Pelodiscus sinensis: one gene and its partner. The protein of the gene in region 2 interacts with the protein of the main gene of each other region in a pairwise test. Links are inferred from orthologs where the notes say so. Each region holds a gene or a part of one and is shown on either strand. Other genes may lie near its edges. The genes, in order: UBL5 and CLK4.

Region 1 (10,188 bases), on a different chromosome or scaffold from region 2:
CACACTCAAGATAGAAATTCCAATGCAATGATACCAGCTGGGGACAGATGGGCTAAGCAGCAATACTGCAGAAAAGGACCTGGGGACTGCAGTGGACAAGAAGCTTAGATGCATCAACAGCGCACTCTTGTTGCCAAGAAGGCAAATGGCATATTGGGTTCATTAGTAGGAACATTGCCAGCAGATCTAGGGAAGTGATCATTCCCCTTTATTCCGCATTGGTGAGGCCACATCAGAAGTTTTGCATCCAGGTGACTTTTTGCTCTCCCTATTATATGTGCAATTTCATATCACATTTAACTCTCAAATAATAGCTTGTTGTACAAACTAGAGATGAGATCTTGCAGTTTGATGTTAGAAGTGGTATCACATATTACTACTAGCAGGTAAATGTTTTCCCCAAAATACACTAGGAAGCATATTTCCAAATGTTAAACATAATTTCTAGTCCTAGTAAATGTCTTACGTTGAGGATAAAAAGCATCATGGGATACAGGTTACACATTTGGTGATTAGCTTGGCTTCTGTTTTTTGTTTTGTAAACTGCTGGGTGATCTGATTGCTCTTGTTTCATTTTGTCAGGGCTTCTAGAACAGAGAAGCAGGAAGGAACTTTATTGATGCACAAATAAAAAAGGCTCAAAGAGATGAATAACTAAAAGTTAGTAGAAAAGGCAAGATGTCACTACAGGCAAAATAGAAGAAAGTGAAGCACCAGGTGTCTGAGAAAGGATGTCACAAAAATGCAAGTCCATCCAGCAGATGGAGCAGCTACAAACAATGAGACAGGAATTCAAGAGATTAGTTCAGGTTGTGCAGGAAAACGTATCAGGTTCCTTATCCCAGTACAGGTTACAGGGTGGGTTTAGTGCAAAAGGAGCCTGGAAAAGGGTGACAAGGGAATAAATATAACAGCTTTGAGAGAAGTTGTATCAGACAGACTTTCCATGGAAACCGGAGACTGCATGGGTTAAGAATGAAGGTATTCGGAAGGCTATTACTGCTATTCCTATTACTTGTTGAAGCATTTTTTTTAATCAATTGCTCTTCTTTCACTCTTAGAAACAAGTGTGTGATGGGAGAGTTGGTCGTATTTTCCTGCCCAGATCATAGCTTAACCACAGTACTATGCAAAATTTCTTTTAAAAATTAAAAAAAAAATCTAACTTGAATATGACAGATACAAACCCGAAGCAAATGTGCTGCTTACTCTAACTAGAAGAGAGTCCCTCTGAGCAGATGGATGGAGAGTGCTACAGTATTATTCTGATTCCAGAAAGTTAAATGGGGTCTAAAGCCCACTGCTTTCCAACAGCTGCATTAATTTGGGCTGCTATGTCAGTTAAAGAAGAGATTTCTTCTGACAAATCCAGGAGCAGGATACAAAAGTTATCAGGAAACTTTTATTGCAAACATTTTTTAAAAATAAAACAGCCTTCTTACAAGTTTGCAGCCACTTTTATAGCCATCAAAACTGAAGATATCTGATAAAACTGAATGCACAACTTGAGCTTCTAATTTTTACCTTACATGAAATAAAGTTTATAGACAAGTTTTATAGCAGAAAAAAAATGTAGAAAAGTGATGCCTGCCATTTGTAACTGCAGCTAGACTCAAGACTACTGATAATATAACTCCAGGTTCATGCCATCATGGATTTCATCTGAAAGGAATGAGTTAAGGGGAATTCCACAGGAAATGCTCAAACGGTAGGTGACATTAGGTTTCTCCCTGGTCAATAATTCAAAATAAATTACAACAGCAAGTTTATTCTTTGATACATTAGACAAATTCTCACATAATTCTCCTTCCCACTTTGTGTGTTTCTATCGCAAATTGATAAAATAAATTGCTAGTGTCATGCAAGGGAACATGGGTCATATGCAATACTGGAAGCTTCAATACCATAACTCAGCAAATGAGTCCCATGTCACAGGCTACCCACTCAATTTAGTAAGGGACTTTTTCCCAGAGGTCCACCAGTTATCTTATGGTAGCCTACCAATACCATCAGTCACTAGTACCCAAAGAGACAAATGAGACCTTTGGTTTATAACAAGCAACTACGTCAGATTAGGAAGTGTCTCTGTTTAGCTATGTATTTATAATATGTCCATCGCTCCACTTCATAGGTTGTGGATCTTTTAAGTGACTAGAAGAACTACCCTGAATTGCTCAGGTCCTTTATTAATTTTTGGTATCTTTGGAAAACCAAGTTCTTCTGCCTCCTGTGCTTCCCAGGCAGCAAGAGAAAGTGCACAATGCTCCCTTACGAATTGGGGAAGATCTTCAGCCCCCCTCCCCTTACCAAAGGGTGCCTGGAAGATGGGAGGCTCAAGACTAGTAAAGTCCTTGACACAGGGTAGGGAGGGGCTGGGCCTGTGTACGCATGTACCTCCAGCCAGCCCCTTCACCAGGCAGGTGAATTCAGTCTCTCTTTTGTATGGTTTTATGAGAGACAATCCCATCCCTGGCACAACCCTATTTCCTGGCACAACCAAACCCTGACCTTGGTTTGAGCTATGATAAGAGGAAGCTATATACCAAACTGGTGCTCCTAGCTCTTGAACGGACAGACTGATTTATAACCAGACAAACTGAAACATATGGCAGATAAAGAACACAACCGTTATTTTAATTAGACAAAGGCTTTCCCCAAAAGCTGCAGTTTACACACACAAGTCTAATGTTCAAGGATACAGTCTCCCAGTGACACATGGTCTTTGAAGATTGTGTACCTGCACAAATGTGTCAAAAAGAAAGTTAGTCAAGAATAAAAGTGTAATACAAGAACAAAAGAAAGTATAGTCAATAGTAATGGAATAATTAGGATAGTATCCAGAGTCTTGCTGTTATCAGTTACAATAGAAAATCATAGAGGCAATGCTTTAACAGATGCCAATCACAGGTTCTGCGGGGAGAAGGATGACACTGCCAACGTGCAGTTACAATGTGACTTGTATAGTAATTTCACACATATTGAAGTTAGAACCACCATACTAGGTCAGACCAAAGATCCATCTAGCTCAGTATCTTGTCTTCTGACAATGAACAATGGCAGGTACTTCAGAGAGAATGAAGAGAACAGGTAACAATGAAGTGTTAGAGGAACAGTAAAAAATTATGTAAAAAGACAGAGAATCAAACAAAAATTCTGAATTGAATGTCACTGCTGGTGAGAGTATGAAGGAAAACTAACTAGCGTTTCTGGAATAATTTGTAGTTATGTACACTTTTATTTTATAAGGCTGCTGCCCTTCCTTTGAGAATTTAAGTGAAAGATTTATCAGTGGAGCTCCCAAGAACACTGAACAATAGAACAGGGAAGGTACAGAATGTGAAACGTCTGAGAATTAAATTCAGAACCTAAAAGGAAATCTTAAATGAATACATACTGGAAGTCTGCAGCTACATGCCATCACCATTTCCCCTTCGCTGCTGCAGGTCCTTGGGATGCAGTGTCCCAGCCTTCATTACCTCAAATGCAGCTACGTTGCAGTATATGTGGTGGGACGGGTGTGGACTGTAGCTGAAGGCCATATCAGTCATCCACATATAGGGAAGCGTACAGAACTCAGTTTACCTGCCTTGGGAGACTTTCCATGGGGCTGAAACTATTGCACCACAGAGTCCAACTACATCGAGCCTGATGCGCCTGAGAACTGCTAAGCCACTTTCCTTCCTTTGCCTCTGCATTTCACCCACTTACCATTTCTTCAGCACGATTTTGTCCCACCGGGTGCCAGTTTGAGCTGCAATGAGTTTCTTTAGGTCGCCGATCGTGTCCTCAGTGCTGAGTGACTGGGTTAAGGAAACTACATTCAAACCCACGGAACAAGCCCCCGGAGAGAGCAGGACTGGCTGGGCCAGAACCCCTCCCGAAGGAGCGAGACGTTTATGGTCGCCTTGCCCGGGGGCGGGGTCCCAGACTCCCACCAGCTCGGGGCCCTCCCCGCGGGCCGCCCCTCACTCCGGGCCGGATACTTGCACTTGACTCGCACCTTCTTGCCCAGCCGGTCGTTGCAGACAACCTCGATCATCCTGCCGGCCTGGGGAGCGAGAGGCGTTAGCAGCGGCCCCCCTACGGCGCAGGGAGGGGGCCCGGGGCGACCCCGCCGTGTGGGACCGGCGCCGGGGGAGGGAATGGCCGCCCACGTGTGGGAACCCTGCGGGGGCGGGGCTCGCTATGAGGCCGAACGGGGAGTCCCGGGCTCGCCCCGCCCCCGCCCGCACTCACCGCCGCAGCTCGCACCGGCCCGCGGGTACCTAGGAGAGCGCCGCGGACAGTGAACCGGAAGCGGAAGAGCCCTGCAAACGGAAAGCGAGTGAGGCCGAACGGAACCGGAAGTGCTCTGCCAGCGGAAGTAAGTGGGAACCGGAAGCGGAAGTGCTTGGCGATGGCCGCAGCACTGAGTCTGGGGGCGCTCCCCGATTTCCTGCTAGTGGAGATTCTGTCGCTGCTGCCGCTGCGCGATCGGCTGCGCGGGGCCAGGTGACGGCGCGGGACCCCCCCCCCCCCGAGCGGCTCCGTCCGGCCCCGCGGGCCCCCCCCCCCCGAGCGGCTCCGTCCAGCTCCGCGGGACCCCCCCCCCCGAGCGGCTCCGTCCGGCCCCGCGGGGACCCTCCCCCCCCCGAGCGGCTCCGTCCGGCCCCGCGGGGACCCTCCCCCCCCCGAGCGGCTCCGTCCGGCCCCGCGGGACCCCCCCCCCCCCCGAGCGGCTCCGTCCGGCCCCGGGAACGCCCCCCCCCCCCTTCAGCCCCACAGGAATCACCCTCCCTCCCCCCCAGCAGCTCCATCCACTCCCACGGGAGTCCCTCCCTCCTGAGTGGTTATAGCGAGATCTCCTCTTCATTCCGCCATGGGAAACACCCCCGCAAGTGTCTCCATTCAGCCGCAGTCCCCATAATTCTTGCCTGCTCCCATGATGGGATTTCTCCTAGTTGTGTACATGCCCCTGGAAGGGGAGTGGGTCATTCATGCCTCCCGGATGGATACTCTCTGCCCTCCCCGGGCATGTGCATACACACAACTGAGCATGCGGGCTGCTGCCGGGATCATAACCTGCACTGCTTCTGTCCCCGTAGGGTCTGCAAACGCTGGCACAGGCTGGTGCAGGACAAGATGCTCTGGAGATATGTGGATTTAACACCATACCAGGTACCAGTCCAGCTGCATGCCTCCTACTCAAAACCACTCTACAGGGCTGATAAATTCTGTCCTGGGGAAATGGCAGAGGGGCCTTTGTGGCTCAAATACCTGCACTTGGGATCCAACATGAGAGATGGTGAAGAAAAGGAGGACTAGGAGAGATACAGTTAAGATATTTCAGGGGCATGGGGGGAGGAGGAGTGATGTACAGGAGCCTAGTGTTGGACAGAAAGGTTGACCAGTCTCTGAAGGGCATTTTTAAAACCAGAAGGGTTGCTGAAAGCAAGTTCCTGAAACCAGGGGTGGTGTCTGAGGAGGGAGGGTATGTGTGTGTGTGTGTGTGTGTGTGTGTGTGTGTGTGTAGCAAAAGGCAGCATCAGTATCTGATACATGCTAGAGTTTGAAGAGCAGGGACTGAGGTTGCTCGTAGGTAAAGGAGCATCAGTAGTCAGGGTAAGAGGCAATATAGTGTAGGATAGTGCCTGTGGTTTACCCTACCAGTGTCAAGTACCTTTTTAAACATATTTAAAGAAGAGCAGGATGGGCCTTTCTTTGCTCATTTATTGCTTTCTAGGGATGTTAAATATTGGTTAATTGAATATTCTATTAACCTCATGAATTCTTATTGGTTGCTCGACTATTCTGTAGTCCCTGGGGGTGGGGCCGTCCATCAGTGCCCTCCGGCCCCACTCCTGAGGAGCCCCCTGCCACTTCATGCTGCTGCCTCTGTATCAGAGACAGCAGTGTGGGTTAGCAGCAGTCCCTGTCCCAGGGGGATGGGGAGGGGTGGTCCAGAGCTCCCGGACCCAGCACGAGCCGGAACTGAGCTGGGCTGCCTGCCCACCTGGCTCCTAATGCACTTCAAATGCAGAGCTGCAGCGGGGTAGGTCCCAGACCTGGTGTAAGCCGGGCTGCTAGCCAGCCTGCTAAAAACTGTACTGGCAAGAAGGGTGGGGAGAATACATGTCCTCTATAACATTAATCAATATGCTTTTGCTTATTGGTTAATCGACTACACTATTACGTCCCTAGTGCTTCCGTAGCATTTTTTCCATTTCTTGTCAAGGTGCCAAGTGCTTTCTTGCTGCTCTCTTGTGCTCAGATCAGCTCCAGGATCTTGTGGCACCTGCTGCGGCAGCACCTGCGCAATGGCCTGAGGATACTGAAAGCGAGAGGAGCTCTGTGCTCAATGAGAAAACAAAGATTCCTTTCCCCCGCGCTGCTGCAGGCACTTGGGACGCAGTGCCCCAGCCTCCATCACCTGTGCCTGACAGAGGCCGACCTCCGTCTGCTCCCATATGACTGTATGCCAACTTCTCTGAGGACCTTGGAGCTGAGCCAGTGTGAGATCCCTGCTGTGTGGTTCCAAAGATCTGCACCTCCTGAGGCTCCCAGAGTCCTGCTGCAACTGCAGCATCTCATCATCCATAACGTTCCTGCTTTTTCTGATCAGCATCTGTTCAACATCTCATCTCAGAGCAGCTTGAGGACATTGAGCCTCTCTGGAACCTACCGGCTGACCGACGCTGGGATTCAGAGAGCAGCACCGCATTTGGAAGACCTGGAGTGTCTGGTGCTGCACAAATGTGTCATTACAGATGCTGCTGTTCACTTCATCAGACGTCACATGAAACAACTCCGCTCTTTGGAAATCAGCAGTGCTTGCTCCCTAACAGATGCAGGCTTGGCTTGTATAGCAGACTTGAAGTGCTTAGAAACCCTCTGTCTTGCATTCAGCCGTAAGCTGTCTCCTAACGCCATTGTTGCTGTGTGCCAGGCACTGCCCCAGTTAAAACATCTCCATCTAGATGGGATTGACTTGGAAGACCAGACAATACAGAAAATTCAGGCGAGTTTGCCCAACTGCAGTTTCTAATGTGCTCCCTGACATGCGTTCCAAGTGGCGAACTACGTGAAACGCACGAGGGTGAGCTGTGGGATATTCACCCCGACATAACATCCAGAATTGCTTCGTATGGGCAGGTTCGTACCCCCCAAAGTACTTGCAGGCGGAATTTTCTCTAGCTAAAACAGTGAGGTGAGCAGTGTCGAGTGAGGACTAGCCTGATAGCTTGTATCACCTAAAGACAGGCAGCAGAAATTCTTTTCTGTGCTCTGCTTGGCTGAAGTGACCCCCACACCTCCTGCTAAGAAAATAGCCAGGCCAGGTAGATGGACAGCCTGTGTGGTCCAATGGCCCGATGAGCTGATTTGGATTGGAGACAGTTTGGCAGCGGGAGGAGGGGGAGGGGTTCTCTTTAGTTTAACCCTGTCTCACATTAAACCTCACACAATAGCTGAGCTATCTCCAAGCACAAGAGAGTAAGTCAGCCGTCTCCTGAAACACAAAAGGGTTTGGTTGCCCAAATTTGGACTCGATAAAATTTAACCCAGGTCAAAAGGCATCTCCACATTGCTGTGCTATGAGCACACTCCTAACCATGCCTAATAGGAAGTGGATCAAGGATTATACAAACATGTTTATAACAGAATGAACCTTCTTACAGGCGTGGAACAAGCGGAAAGAACCTGGCATGTTCATTTTCCAAACAGACTCCAGCCGAGTACCTCATAGTGTGGTGCATAGGTGACTGTGGTTGTGTCTTGTCCTGTAGGATGGAGTGGCAGGGGTTCTGCTGTGGCCCAGGAGGATGCCTGGAAGGAGTGTAGGGAGCACCCAGAATGCAGTTGTCTGCAGGAGGGGGGGGCGAGCATGCACCTGCTTAACCTGAAGTTTTGTCAGAGACCACAGCATGCCTGTCTGCTCCCTGAGCGGCACCATCATCCTTATCTACCTGTTTATCCTGTCCTCGCTATCCCTCTGCGTTCTGTCCCGAGTGTCACCCGGCAAGCCTGGAATCGGACACAGCGGAGCCTTACAGGCCCTCCTGCTACATGTCTTCCCTTGTCCTCTTTCTCCTGCTATTTGAAGGACTGCTCTACTGGTGTGGACGGAGAGGCCTTCAGTGCCACACTTGCAGCTGCAAAAGAACCAAGGGACAGAAGTACTATTGTGAGTATCCCCACCAGTTACAAGTACAATGTTCTCTTTCCTTGGGATCCGTAGAGCTGGGCTGCAGGGCCACCTCATGGGACAGGGTGAGGCAGGACAGTGTCAGGCATCGGTGTAAGCAGATGGGGCAGTTGAAACTTCACTGGCTCCCACAGGCAGTGGAGTGTTAGCAGATACCTTGCTCCTGCAGGTAACGGAGGCAGAAAGGAATAGCCCCTGCATGCGTTCAGCTGCTGACCTGGTCTGTATGCAGTTAGCCTGTGTGCTGCAATGATGCCTACTGCATTAATTGTGCAGTGGCATGGGAAAGTGACCTACTATGGTGAAGGAAGTAGGGCAGCCGCCTCCCCCCCAGGCAGCCTTCGGCAGGGTTTGTAGACTGCTTCCTGAGAGCGCTATGGAGGGTGCAGGGGACATCCTGGTGCTGCATGGCCTCTGCCTAGCTGTCCAGGGAGTGAGGCAGATGGCATCTCTTTCACTAACGGTTATTTCACTGTCTCATCTAGCCTGTTTGAAAACATGATATGTGACCAGATGCGTCCCTGCAATACTGAAGCAAATGTCCTTACCAGAGGTTCTTTCCCCTGCATAAGACTTGCTGATGCTGGATCCTAGGGACTGGCTTGACAGCTCCCATGTGGGGAAGAGGTCTGGGCTCACCACTCCACCGTCCCCCACGCCCCTCTCCCTCATTCGTCCAGTCAGGATTCACTGCAGCAGTCATGACTCCAACTTCTCAGAAGTATCTGCAGGGCCCAGGGGGTGGGGAGGAGTCACCGCTGAGGATGCCATGCAGCTCCTTGTAGAAGCAGCATGTTTGCACCTGGGCATCACAGTAACTTTGCCTCCTATGCCTTCTGGTGAGCCTGCTGTAGTTCCTAGGTTTTCATGTTGCACTGCTGCATTTCCCTGTTATACCCCTTTTCCATCATGTCCCTGAGTCTCCCTGGCCAGGGAGATCCATGTTTCTGTGCCTGGAGCGGCGCTGTGCCTGCACAGACCCAGGAGAGCCATCATATCTCGTGTGCTCAAGTCAGGGCATGTTTGCTGCATGCAACCAGTATGGTCGGCTGGGCCGATTCAAGGCGAGTCTCCCTCCTGAGCAAACAGGAGATGGAAATTCCAAAATTCACAGGGCTTTAAAGGGCGAGGGGCATTGGACAGTGGAGTTCAAAACAGTGACCAGAGCAGTCGTCGTGTAGCATTGTGAGACATCTCCTGGAGCCATCAAAAGTAACAAGTAACACGGTGTCTGTGCCCACGCTGCATCATTGTAACTATTGTCAACTTAAGTGTTACGCTCCTTAGTGGAGGTGGCGTTACTAAGTTCCTGTAGCAGGCAATTTACTTTGGCGGGAGCACCATTGTACTGTCGTCTGAGACAGAATTATGTCGACACAAACCACCTTGTGTTGACCTAAATCTGTAGTGTAGAAGCGGTCCAAATGTATGCAGATAATTGGAGCATAGACCTCAGGGATTATATAGTATTTGAGTAATATTAGCAGGCTGCCAGCAGCCAGATCCTGCTCCTGGTTTGTTGGGTGACATTGCTGTGCATGGCTGCTTGTGCCTTCTATAGTTTAAATGCTACCTCATCTTTCCCCGATGTTACAAAGCCCTGAGATCATGTTAGCAAATTTTGGCTGACATTAGGATGGTAGCACAGCACTGTGAAGCTTCCATTCTGGGACAGTTTTTAGATCTGCGGAGTTGTTTGTAATCAAATGTAACATTTGTGCATAAAATAAAAGTGCTTTTAAATCTGTCAAGTTGTCTTATGCTGTTAGATTTGGACAGAAATATGGCAACAATCTTCGTGAGGCTTTTTAACAGGTTTTGTGCTTCTGTTGCATGGAGTGACCTACATTCTTGGCAGTTTTATCTCTTCTACAATTTAGTATTGCCTAGTGGCTCAAGCTAAGAGCCATATGTAACCAAATGTGGGACACAGGGGCCGCTTGATGCCAGAGGCAGAGGGCACAAGGGTACACAGAAGTGCAGGGTTCCCAAAAAATATTTTTGGG
Region 2 (9,871 bases):
TTAATAAATGCAAAGTAATGCATATTGGAAAACACAATCCCAACTATACATACAAAATGATGGGAGCTAATTTATCTATAACCACTCGAGAGATCTGGGAGTCATTGTGGATAGTTCTCTGAAAACATCCACTCAATGTGCAATGGCAGTCAAAAAATCAAAGTATGTTAGGAATCATTAAGAAAGGGATAGAGAATAAGACCGAGAATAAATAGCTTATTGTCTCTATATAAATCCATGGTATGCCCACATCTTGAATACTGCCTGCAGATGTGGTTGTCTCATCTCAGAAAGGAAGCTTGGCATAAAAGTTCAGAAAAGAGTAACTAAAATGGCTAAGGGTTCGGAATAACTGCCATATGAGAAGAGTTAATAAGACTGTGACATTTCATCTGAGAAAAGAGGAGGGTAAGAGGGAATATGACAGAGGTCTATAAAATCATGACTGGTGTGGTGAAAGTGAATAAGGAAACGTTATTTACTCGTTCCCTTAACACAAGAACTAGGGGTCACCAAATGAAACTAACAGGTAGCAGGATTAAAACAAACCAAAGGATTCATTCATGCAATGCACACTCAATCAGTAGAACACCAGGCCAGAGGATGTTGTGACTTTAACAGGGTTCAAAAAAGTACTAGATAAATTCACGGAGGATGGGTCTATCAATGGCTATTAGCCAGGATGCGTAGGAATGGTGTCTCTAATATGTCAGACACTGGGAATGGATGACAGAGGGTGGATCACGTGAAGATTCCCTGTTTTGTTCATTTCCCTCTGGGGCACCTGTCATTAGGCACTGTCGGCAGACAGGATATTAGGCTAGATGGACCTTTGGTCTGACCCAGTCTGGCCATTCTTATGTTCTTAGATTGTTGCAGTGGTAACAAATACTAATAATTAATGATCCATCCATGTCTAACCTTAGTTCCGCTTCATACTGAGAAACAAAAGGAGAAATGGGGTTTTTGGTTTGATGGAATCTGTGTTTAAAGCCTTATTGTCAAGAAATCGTCCAAGGAAATCTTCATGAAACAGTTTGCCCAAAGCTGCACTGCCATGCTGTCCATAATACATGCATGTCTATTCACTAATATTTGGCAGGGGTAAAAGTGAGAAATCAATCGTACACGTACACTACAAAGTAGAGAAATCAGCTGTGCACTAATGGCCATGTTTGACTTTAGGTATACAGTCTCTGTTCTAGCAAAAGCCATGCTACGCCTTAGTGGTTCAGTACTAGTTTGAGAAGGAGACGCTCCCGGGAAGCAAATCCCAGAATGTGATGTCTTGCTAACCTGGCATTGCCAAGGATGATATGTCCACAAAGTGCTCCGTGGCAGAGGCACTACATCAGAGAACCCGAAATAGGTCCAGTTTTGAGATTTACTTTCAGAGATCCCCTTAGAAAAGCTACTGTAAATAAGTGAGTTTGAATACTGACGTGTTGGAATGACAATCCAGGTCTAGTTTCCCATCATTTGTCCTTGCTGCCTTTAATTGTTGTGTATTTTTTCTTTAACAAAACTGTGTTGGTTGGAGTTCCTCAAATTGCATTGCTGTGTGTATGTTGTGCATCACAGGAGCCTGGAAGAAAATTGTCCAGTGCCCAGATCAGTACATGTGGCCAGATGCACCATACCAAGGATTTGCTTGTCTCTGAGACATCGGTGCTGGATGCAGGTTACCAAATGTCATTCATTATAGAAAATTCCATGTGCCCACAGCTCTCGCTTGTCTATTGGTCAATACTGAGCTAATCTATAACAAGTTATACGGAAGCAAAATCTGCCACTCTGCCTCATTGATTCTGCAAGTAGTCTCATTGAAATCAATCACACTGATCCATAGATCTTTGACCCCATCAGGAATAAGAAATAGGTGGTCTCAGTGATTCACGTTTGCTGAGTGATGTATAGTTTCTCTTTTTAGAGCTCCAATCAATTTGCCTATGGTTGCAGCTTTCTGGCTTAGACAGCAAATCAATTGTATTAAATATTTTTGCAAGGCCTTGTGGTGTTGCGTAGGAGAAACACCCCTAGTACAAACTGTTAGCTGTTTGTTTAAGTCTGTCCATGATAATACAATTAGTCAACTGAGACACCAGATTGCCACAGAAGAATTCAGAAACAGGGAGAAACTTTCTTCAGCTTTCACAGGGAATACAAATCACCTAAAGAACAAAGTGAGTGTAATGCTTGGTCATTTTGTTATGAGGCATTGAGGATGTATTCATAAACAGCGAGAAACAATTTCTAGACTGTACAATTCATTATAAAATTTGACAACGATGTTAATAGATTAGCTACTGATGCTAGGCAAGAGACAGAGATCTAGAGATATATCTATAACTCATGCATACATATATCATGCAAGTGTATTTAAGATTAGTGAATTATCAGTTTCCCAGGGTGGAATTACAGAACATCTTTAGATACAGATCACAGACATGCTGAATTGAGAGGTGCACCGAATTGACCAGGACAGCTGAAACCCATTACCTGATACAGTACCAGTTAGCCCTTTGTCCTCTGGAACTAGGATGCATTTAGGGTCTCAGAACCTCAGTCCACAGGACAGGTATAATCTTTGCCTTATCTTCTGATGATCTCCCTTAGCTCACCATCATCACCTCAGTCTTCTCAAGGATGGAACCTTCGCCAGCTCACCCTCATCCATACTCATATGTTGAAAATGGAACTAAACTGCACTCTGAGTCATACAAAATGGAGGGATGAAGCTGAATATCATCAGCATATAGAAAATATGAGATTCCATCCCACGTCGCCTCCCCAATTCCCTCACCCTCCAATGATCCTATATACTGAAGGGGAGGAATGATGTGGTAGGGTCCTGTGTGGTACCCTCAGGAGAGAAAAACAAAATATCTAAAACTACTTTCTGGGATTTCTTATATGGAGAGAATGAAGCCACCACATGGCAATCAGGTCTGCTCTTCAGCCAGTCTCCAATGGAGGTAACAGCACTCCATGACTAATATGTGGTAGATCAATTAATAGCGGTATCTGATCTTTAGCTATTGCCAGAAGTTCATTGACCAGACCTGTCTCAGGTGCTGTAACCTGTTCTGAAGCCAGAGTGACAAAGCTGGCGAAGCTCAGAGGTGTCTATGTAACCTGCTGCTTCAAAGTTCTCGCCAGAAATGGAAGATCAGGATGACTATTCTTAAAGGAGGTCATGAAACTCTCCATCAGAAAAGGACGCAAAGTTTTCCCAGTAGCCATCACCCACCAGGTAAGGCATGAGTCCAATGAAAGGTCTGTGGTATAAAATTCCTCTAAGACATCAAGAACTTCACAGAACACCACCAGAGTAGGTTCTAGCACTGATCTAGCAGCCATCCACTCAGGGTCCTGCTCTACTGTCACAGCAGATTGCTAGGTATGAAGCCTGCACAAAATTCTCTGCAAAACAGCAAAAGCTCTTTTCTCCCAGTGGGAGGTGCGAATTGACAAATGAGCCTTCAAAAGAAAGTAGCCTAGACAGAATGGACCGTATGCTATGCAGGTAGGTCTGCTGAGAGAGACAGTGAAGATGCTAAACACTCTGTAGGAGATGCAAGCATTCCTCCCCTGCACAACTAAAAGCATAGGACCTCATGAAATCCTGGGTCAGGAGCAACAAGGACATTACTATATTATTCACCAGTATGGTTAGTAACAGCTGCTCTGTGTGTGCAGATATCACAGTATTCATATTCTCATGTCCTTCCTAAGAGGGTTGTTTTCCATCAGAAATCAGACTCCTCCACAGGCCAGCCACCAAGGGGCAAGGAGAGGGACTGGAAGTGCAGGGCTGTGAGAAACTGAGTGCAGTAGGCATGAAAACCATATTTCCTTATACCAAATATGGGACACCTAATACAATTATTCATATGCAAGCAAGTTCAATGGCAATCAATCAGAACTATGCAGTGCAAACGTTCACATTAACATCAAGTTCACAGAGCCTCTGTTGAAAAGAAATACTGTGTAGCTAGAGTCTATTTAACATCTTATCTTTAAGGCTTTAGGATTCATTCATGAAGAGGTGATACACACCCCCCATACAGACACAGAGGTGACACAAATATTCCCCTATACCTCTCTAACAAATGCGGGGATGACTCAACCCTACCTCCCTGGTGTTCTCCACCCTCCAAACCTGGCTTGGCCCCAGGAGAGACCCGCCTCTCTTGGTATGTGGTGCTGCGTCTTTCATCACATGTTTGTATATCACATGATTTCTGCCAGGGTTCACAACAGAATATGGCCAGCAGCAGCTTTTTAGCACTGTGCCGAAGGGAAGAAATGGGAGCTGCTTCAAGCTACCAGAGGGATTGGGGGGGGGGGGGGGGGGAGGGAGGGGAGAGCTGGCCCTTGTCTGCAGAGTCCATCTCTTCCCCTTCTCCCCTCTGCTCACCAATAGCTGGAAGTAGCTTGCCCCTTCCTGCCCACACAATGTAGAAAGGCAACCAACACCTCCAGGCTACTGCTGGCCACTGACATAACCTACCTACCTCCTGTCCCTCAGCTACAGCACACGTAGGAAGGAGTTAAACCCTAAGGATGCCTCATGCGCCAGGGCCCAGGAAACCAGATTTCAGAAAGTTCAGCGAACTGGGCGTGAGCGGTGGATCAGCTGGGGAAGGTGCCCAGGGGACAGAGCAGCCCTACGCTCCCTGCAGGCAGGACCCAGGGTCTGAGAACAGATGAAGAGGTACTAAAGCCCATTTTCCAGGGTCTAGGTGGGGGCACAAACAGGCTGGAAATTGTTTTTTCTCCTCCATTCCAGAGCTTAGCTCAAAAGCAGAGAGTGGCCAGTTCCCGCGCTATGTGGGGCTTTATCATGCTGTGAGTCGTGGGCTTCCCCAGGGCCTGACCCAGCCAGAGGCAGTGGGGGAAGGAAGGAGCCTGCTGACCAGGCGGTTGGGGAGCTGAGCGCTCCAACTTGGAGCTGAGCGCTCCAACTTGGAGCTGGTTCTGTGCACAGAGCTGAGAGCAGGAGATGCCCTGACGGGAGCATATGAAGGAGCCATGGGCCTAGGAGACAATGAAGGGGTGAAGCAGGGAGAGAACAGTGAAAGGGGGAGCACATAAAGGGCTGGTAGGTGGGCAGGAGTGGCAACACAGAGCCAGCCACCACCTGACGTCTACCTGCGCTCATCATCCTCCACAGCTTGCAGCTACAGCCTGTGCCAGGCAGAAACAGGATGGGGGAAAAGACCCTGATGTCCGAGAGTTGACACCCAGTGGGCGCTGTGCTGATGGGACCAGCCGAGGGAGTGGCGGGCCCCACACGCTGCAGCTTGGCCCCGCCACCAGCCTCGTGTGCGTTCGCACACACCCCACACCACCATCGTTGGCACTGCACTCCCGCACTCACTAGCGGTGGGAGGGGATGTGGCCAGCAGTAGGACCCGCCAGGACTGAGTGGGGAGGGAGACAAAATGCAGGACAATCTGCCTGTTGTTGGGAGAAAGTTGGGACACCTACAGGAAGGCTTAAATATGGGACAGTCCCTTTAAAAAGGGGGCATCGGGTCACCCTAGCAGTAGGGCGTGCTCAGCCCCCCCCCCCCCAACCAGCTCCTGAGTTTTTTGGGCACCTAAATCCATGGGAGTCAGGTGCATAAAAGACCCTTGAGTGCAGGGGCCTATGGGCAGCTCTGTGCTTTCCACAGCCTCCCTCTACCCCGCCCCGCCCTCACAGGGCGGGATCCTTAGAGGACCCCCAAACAGAGGTCACGTCTCAGTGTCTCCTCTCCCCCCCCCCCAAGGGGCGGGGCCGTAGCGCCTCCCTCACCCGCCAGCAGGGGGCGGAGTCTCAGCGTCTCCCTGCTCCCTAGTCGCTGCGGCCGCTGAGGGGCGGAGTCCCGTTGTGGCCCTAGCGGGCTGCGTGTGACGCCATCGCGCACGGGCGGGCGGGGGAGCCGTAGTTCGCTACTCTCCAGCGCTGGGCGCGGCCGCCATTTTGTTTGTGTGAGGAGGGCGGAGACGGGTGTCGCTCAGCTCCTCGCCTGCCGTAAGTCGCGAAGACGACACCCCCCCCATCCCTTGTCAGGACGGGGGAGGCCAGCGCCGTGGTGGACTCGAGCCGGCTGCGGTCGAAGCGGGGCGCTTATCGCTTCAGCCCGGGCGCTGCGGGCCAGGCAGGGGGGCTGCCCGAGGTGATGGGAAGCGGCCTGAGGGGAGCTTGGGGCGGGAGGGAAAGATTCTGAGGCTTTTTTTTTGGGGGGGGCGGGCGCTTGGAGGTGATTCGTTTCCAGGCCCTCACACGGGTGGACCCGACACCCGCCAGCTGTGCAGCTTACTCCCCTGTGAGAACCCCCCATACTTCCCCCTCCCCCCCACACATCCCACCCCACACACGGCTCCCCCCCCCCCACATGTTCCATCCCCTTCTGCATCCCCCATTCCCCGCACACGGCCCATCCCCCTCCCCTGTAGATCCTCCCGGCCCCCCCCTCTCGCTCTCACAGCCAGGAACTGCCAGGGAGACAGGGTCTTGTATCCTGACTAGATTGGGGTCTGCAGAGGAAGCAGGTATCCGTAGGGGAGCCTTCCCTGCCCGGGGCCAGTGGCCCCCACTGCTCCCCTTCAGGGGCCCCAGTGCTCCTTGGCTGCCCTGGCAGCTGCTCGGAAGCACAGTGGCCTGTAATGGACCTGGCACAGGCAGTTCAGAGCTGTACAGAGTCAGTAGTTGTGTAATGTCAGTAGCTGAAATTGGCCTAGGGAGCTAGTGGGCGGGTTGGAGCAATGGTTCCCTGTTTTAACCTCCTGTGAGCATCGCCAAAGGTGACGGGAGGGGATGAGATCCGCAGGTGGAGGTTGCAGGACTTGATTCTGGAATGTATCAGGATGGCGAACAGCTGGATCCTGCTCTACACTGGGACAAGGCCTGGCTCAGATCTCGCAGTGTGAGGATGGACTCCTGCTTCCCGCAGCTCCCCTTGGCTGGAAAGGGTGAACTACTGTGTGTTCATGGATGCTTAGATAAACAAAAGTGTCTCTTGGCCTGCCAGTGGCTTTCCCAAACATGCCCACCATGACCTAATTTTTAAAAACCCCTTATGTACGCCAACTGAAGAAGCTCTTCTGTCATTGTAGTAGTACAGGGATTGCCAACCTGTGGCTCTTGAGCCACATGCCACTCTTTGCTCACAGGAAATGTGGCTCTCAGGGTTACAGCTTGTTCGGAGCCTCATGCCTACTTTGTGCATATCCCTCTCCCTCCCCCCCCCCCCCCCCCCCCCCCAGTTCCTGGAGGGAGAAGTGCATGGCTGTGGCGATGGCAGCTCTGGTGAGACCCAGGCATTGGGTTAGAATGGGAGGGGGTTGGGGGTGCCTGGTTCTGGCAGAGGGAGAGAGCATTGAGTTAGAGTGGGGAAAGCTGGGGGGGCCTGGCTCTGGAGGAGGGATGTGTGGCTCTTTGCACTACTATCCACAGCTCCTTTGGCTCTTCGTGTCAAACTGATTGGCCACCCCCATAGTAGTATCTTCACTAAAGAACTATAGCAGCACAGCTGCAGTACTGTTTGTGAAAACAAGCCCTCAATGTAGGATTGAGGATTTAATCTGTAACCATTTTTATATCTTGAGAACACTGAGCCCTTACTACCCTTAGGCTATGTTTATAGTACATACCTTACAGCAGCACTGCTGTACTGCTGCAGCTTTACTGCTCTAAGATCTCCAGTGTAGCCATTCTATGCTAGCGGGAGAGAACTCTCCCTGACATAATTAAACGATCCCTAATGAGCAATGGTAAACTGTGATTTCTGTATGAATCCGTCTCTTGAATCTGGATTAGGAATGTAAAATCCTGTTTAATTGGTTAACCAGTTAAACAAATTATTTATCCAGTTAATCATTTAAAGGGGTTGGCTGAAGTGGCCCCCCTTGTCTGTGGTTCCACCCGTGCAAGAAGAGGCTGCACTGGCCATGCTGGAGCAGCCCCTATCCACAGGGGGCACACCATAGGGTTGGAGTAGATCCTGCCTGTGGCATATAGTGAGCTGCTCCAGCTCCCACTGGTTTACCTTAACCAGTAAGCGGGTGAGGTTTAGCAGTTAAACTTTCACATCTCTAATCTAGATTAGTAGACTGTCATATCTGTGTATACTGAAATGGAACCATTTTTTCCCCCTTTAAATATGTCAATGAAAGATGCAACATTCAAAACGAAGTCATTGCTCTGAGTGGAATGATAGAAAGAGCTGGGATCAAGGAAGTCACAGTGTTCCCCATAAACGCAAGAGGTCCCACAGCAGTGACAAAGAAAGCAAACCCCATAAATCACATCATCTTGAAGTTTCAGACAGGTAAAAGATTCTTTGAATTACCAATACTGATATCTCTAATTGTAAGTAAGATTAATTTAAATTAAATAAAAAATTGTTTTGAGAAGACAAGACTTGCTAATGCCTTTAGGAGTTGGCTCATTATTTGCCACGCTTAAGTAATGTATCGTTTTAGTGATACAGTGATTAAATTGTTTAGTTGTGATTCTTTGATACAAAATATTAACATCCAATCTGTTTCTGTGAAAATCTGCCTGGTAAGGATTTATATTGAAATACAATATGCAGTATTAAATTTTAATAAAATGTTTCTCGTGTGTAAGAGGATGGAGGAAGAAGGTGAATGTTTGCTCTCTTAGAACATTTTATAGAAGGGTAAGTATGGGTTAGATTGCTTTCATTCATTTTTCAGGTGTCTTTCTTTTCTTTCTTTTCCTTTAAGAGGGGATATAGGTCTTCTGTGTCCTTCCTTTGAGAAAGGAAGACCATATTTTAAAGAACTCATCAGTTTGCTTCTAAAATGGTAGGAGTGGATGTGCAGTACCATGAGATTCTCTTTTCTGTGCTGCAGCTTGCATGATCCCTATTTTCTGGAGGGAGAGTCTTCGCACCAAAAATCTCTCTGATTCTTAGTGTTTTAATGTAGCACACTAACAACAGGATTTTAAATTCTTCAGGGTGGCAAATTGGGTTTTAAGAGTTTCTCTTATATGCTTGTGTGGTTTAAGGAGAGGGAAGGAGATAATTGTTGTATTCAAGAAAGCTTGGGCTTGCACTTCATCTTTTGATTTTTGTATGTTTTAAAGAGAGATTTGAATTGTTGGAGCGGAGTATGCCAAGTACTTCTATTGAGATGAATATTTCCTATTTGCATTTGGATTTCTTAATACTTGTACAGGTTATTCTGCGTACACAATTCCAAAGTAAGGTAATCTATATTGGATGACTTAATCAACTCCGTCATATAAACTAGCCTGAAAATCTCTAGCGGTTTTCTAGGGGGGAATTGTTGTAAAGCAAAATTCCTTCCGTAAATAAATATGCCATAAATGTACATTTAAGCATTAGCAACTCAAAGATATTTATTTTGTTGGAACACAAGTATTTTTAAAGTGGAGAATATTTTTAAAGTGGAGAAAATTCATTTTAAATATATTTTCAGCCATTATTTGGATGACAAATTCATAAATGAGAGAGATCATCATGACCGGAGGTATGTTGAAGAATACAGAAATGACTTCTGTGAAGTATATGACAACAGGCATTATCACAGAGACTATGAAAAGAGTCACCGTCACCACCATAGCAAATCCTCTGGTCGGAGCAGGAAAAGTAGTCATAAAAGGAAGCATAAAAGGCGTCATGGCTCTGGTCACCATTCACATTCGGTATGAGTAATTTTTAACTTTATTATTAATAGATTAGTGATAAAATTCTTTAGTGAATGTCAGAACTTACATTGCTAAGCCACAAGTATCTGGGACAGATATATTTTATATAGAAAAGGTTCATAGGTGAGCCTCTTCCTATGTATATATACAACTTAGAGGAGAATTTTAGGTACGCAGTAAA

Evidence for each region.
Region 1: the proteins of CLK4 (region 2) and UBL5 interact in a two-hybrid assay, tested with the Homo sapiens proteins (2 studies listed by BioGRID and IntAct). The link is inferred for Pelodiscus sinensis from reciprocal best matches to the Homo sapiens genes CLK4 and UBL5.

The regions. Positions count from the first base shown.
Region 1 is NC_134729.1:14,651,405-14,661,592, reverse strand, and holds UBL5 (ubiquitin-like protein 5), read right to left. Parts: upstream 4,370-10,188; 5' UTR 4,237-4,369; intron 4,049-4,236; 5' UTR 4,040-4,048; coding exon 3,984-4,039; intron 3,793-3,983; coding exon 3,709-3,792; intron 2,738-3,708; coding exon 2,700-2,737; intron 1,663-2,699; coding exon 1,619-1,662; 3' UTR 1,389-1,618; downstream 1-1,388. Other genes in the region: FBXL12 (F-box/LRR-repeat protein 12), read left to right, coding at 4,397-4,491, 5,085-5,157, 6,215-7,024. UniProt on the Homo sapiens protein: Ubiquitin-like protein that plays a role in cell proliferation and sister chromatid cohesion by associating with spliceosomal proteins. Participates thereby in pre-mRNA splicing by maintaining spliceosome integrity.
Region 2 is NC_134727.1:32,819,796-32,829,666, reverse strand, and holds the start of CLK4 (dual specificity protein kinase CLK4), read left to right. Parts: upstream 1-5,873; 5' UTR 5,874-6,021; intron 6,022-6,027; exon of another isoform or gene 6,028-6,166; intron 6,167-8,165; coding exon 8,166-8,320; intron 8,321-9,461; coding exon 9,462-9,687; intron 9,688-9,871. UniProt on the Homo sapiens protein: Dual specificity kinase acting on both serine/threonine and tyrosine-containing substrates.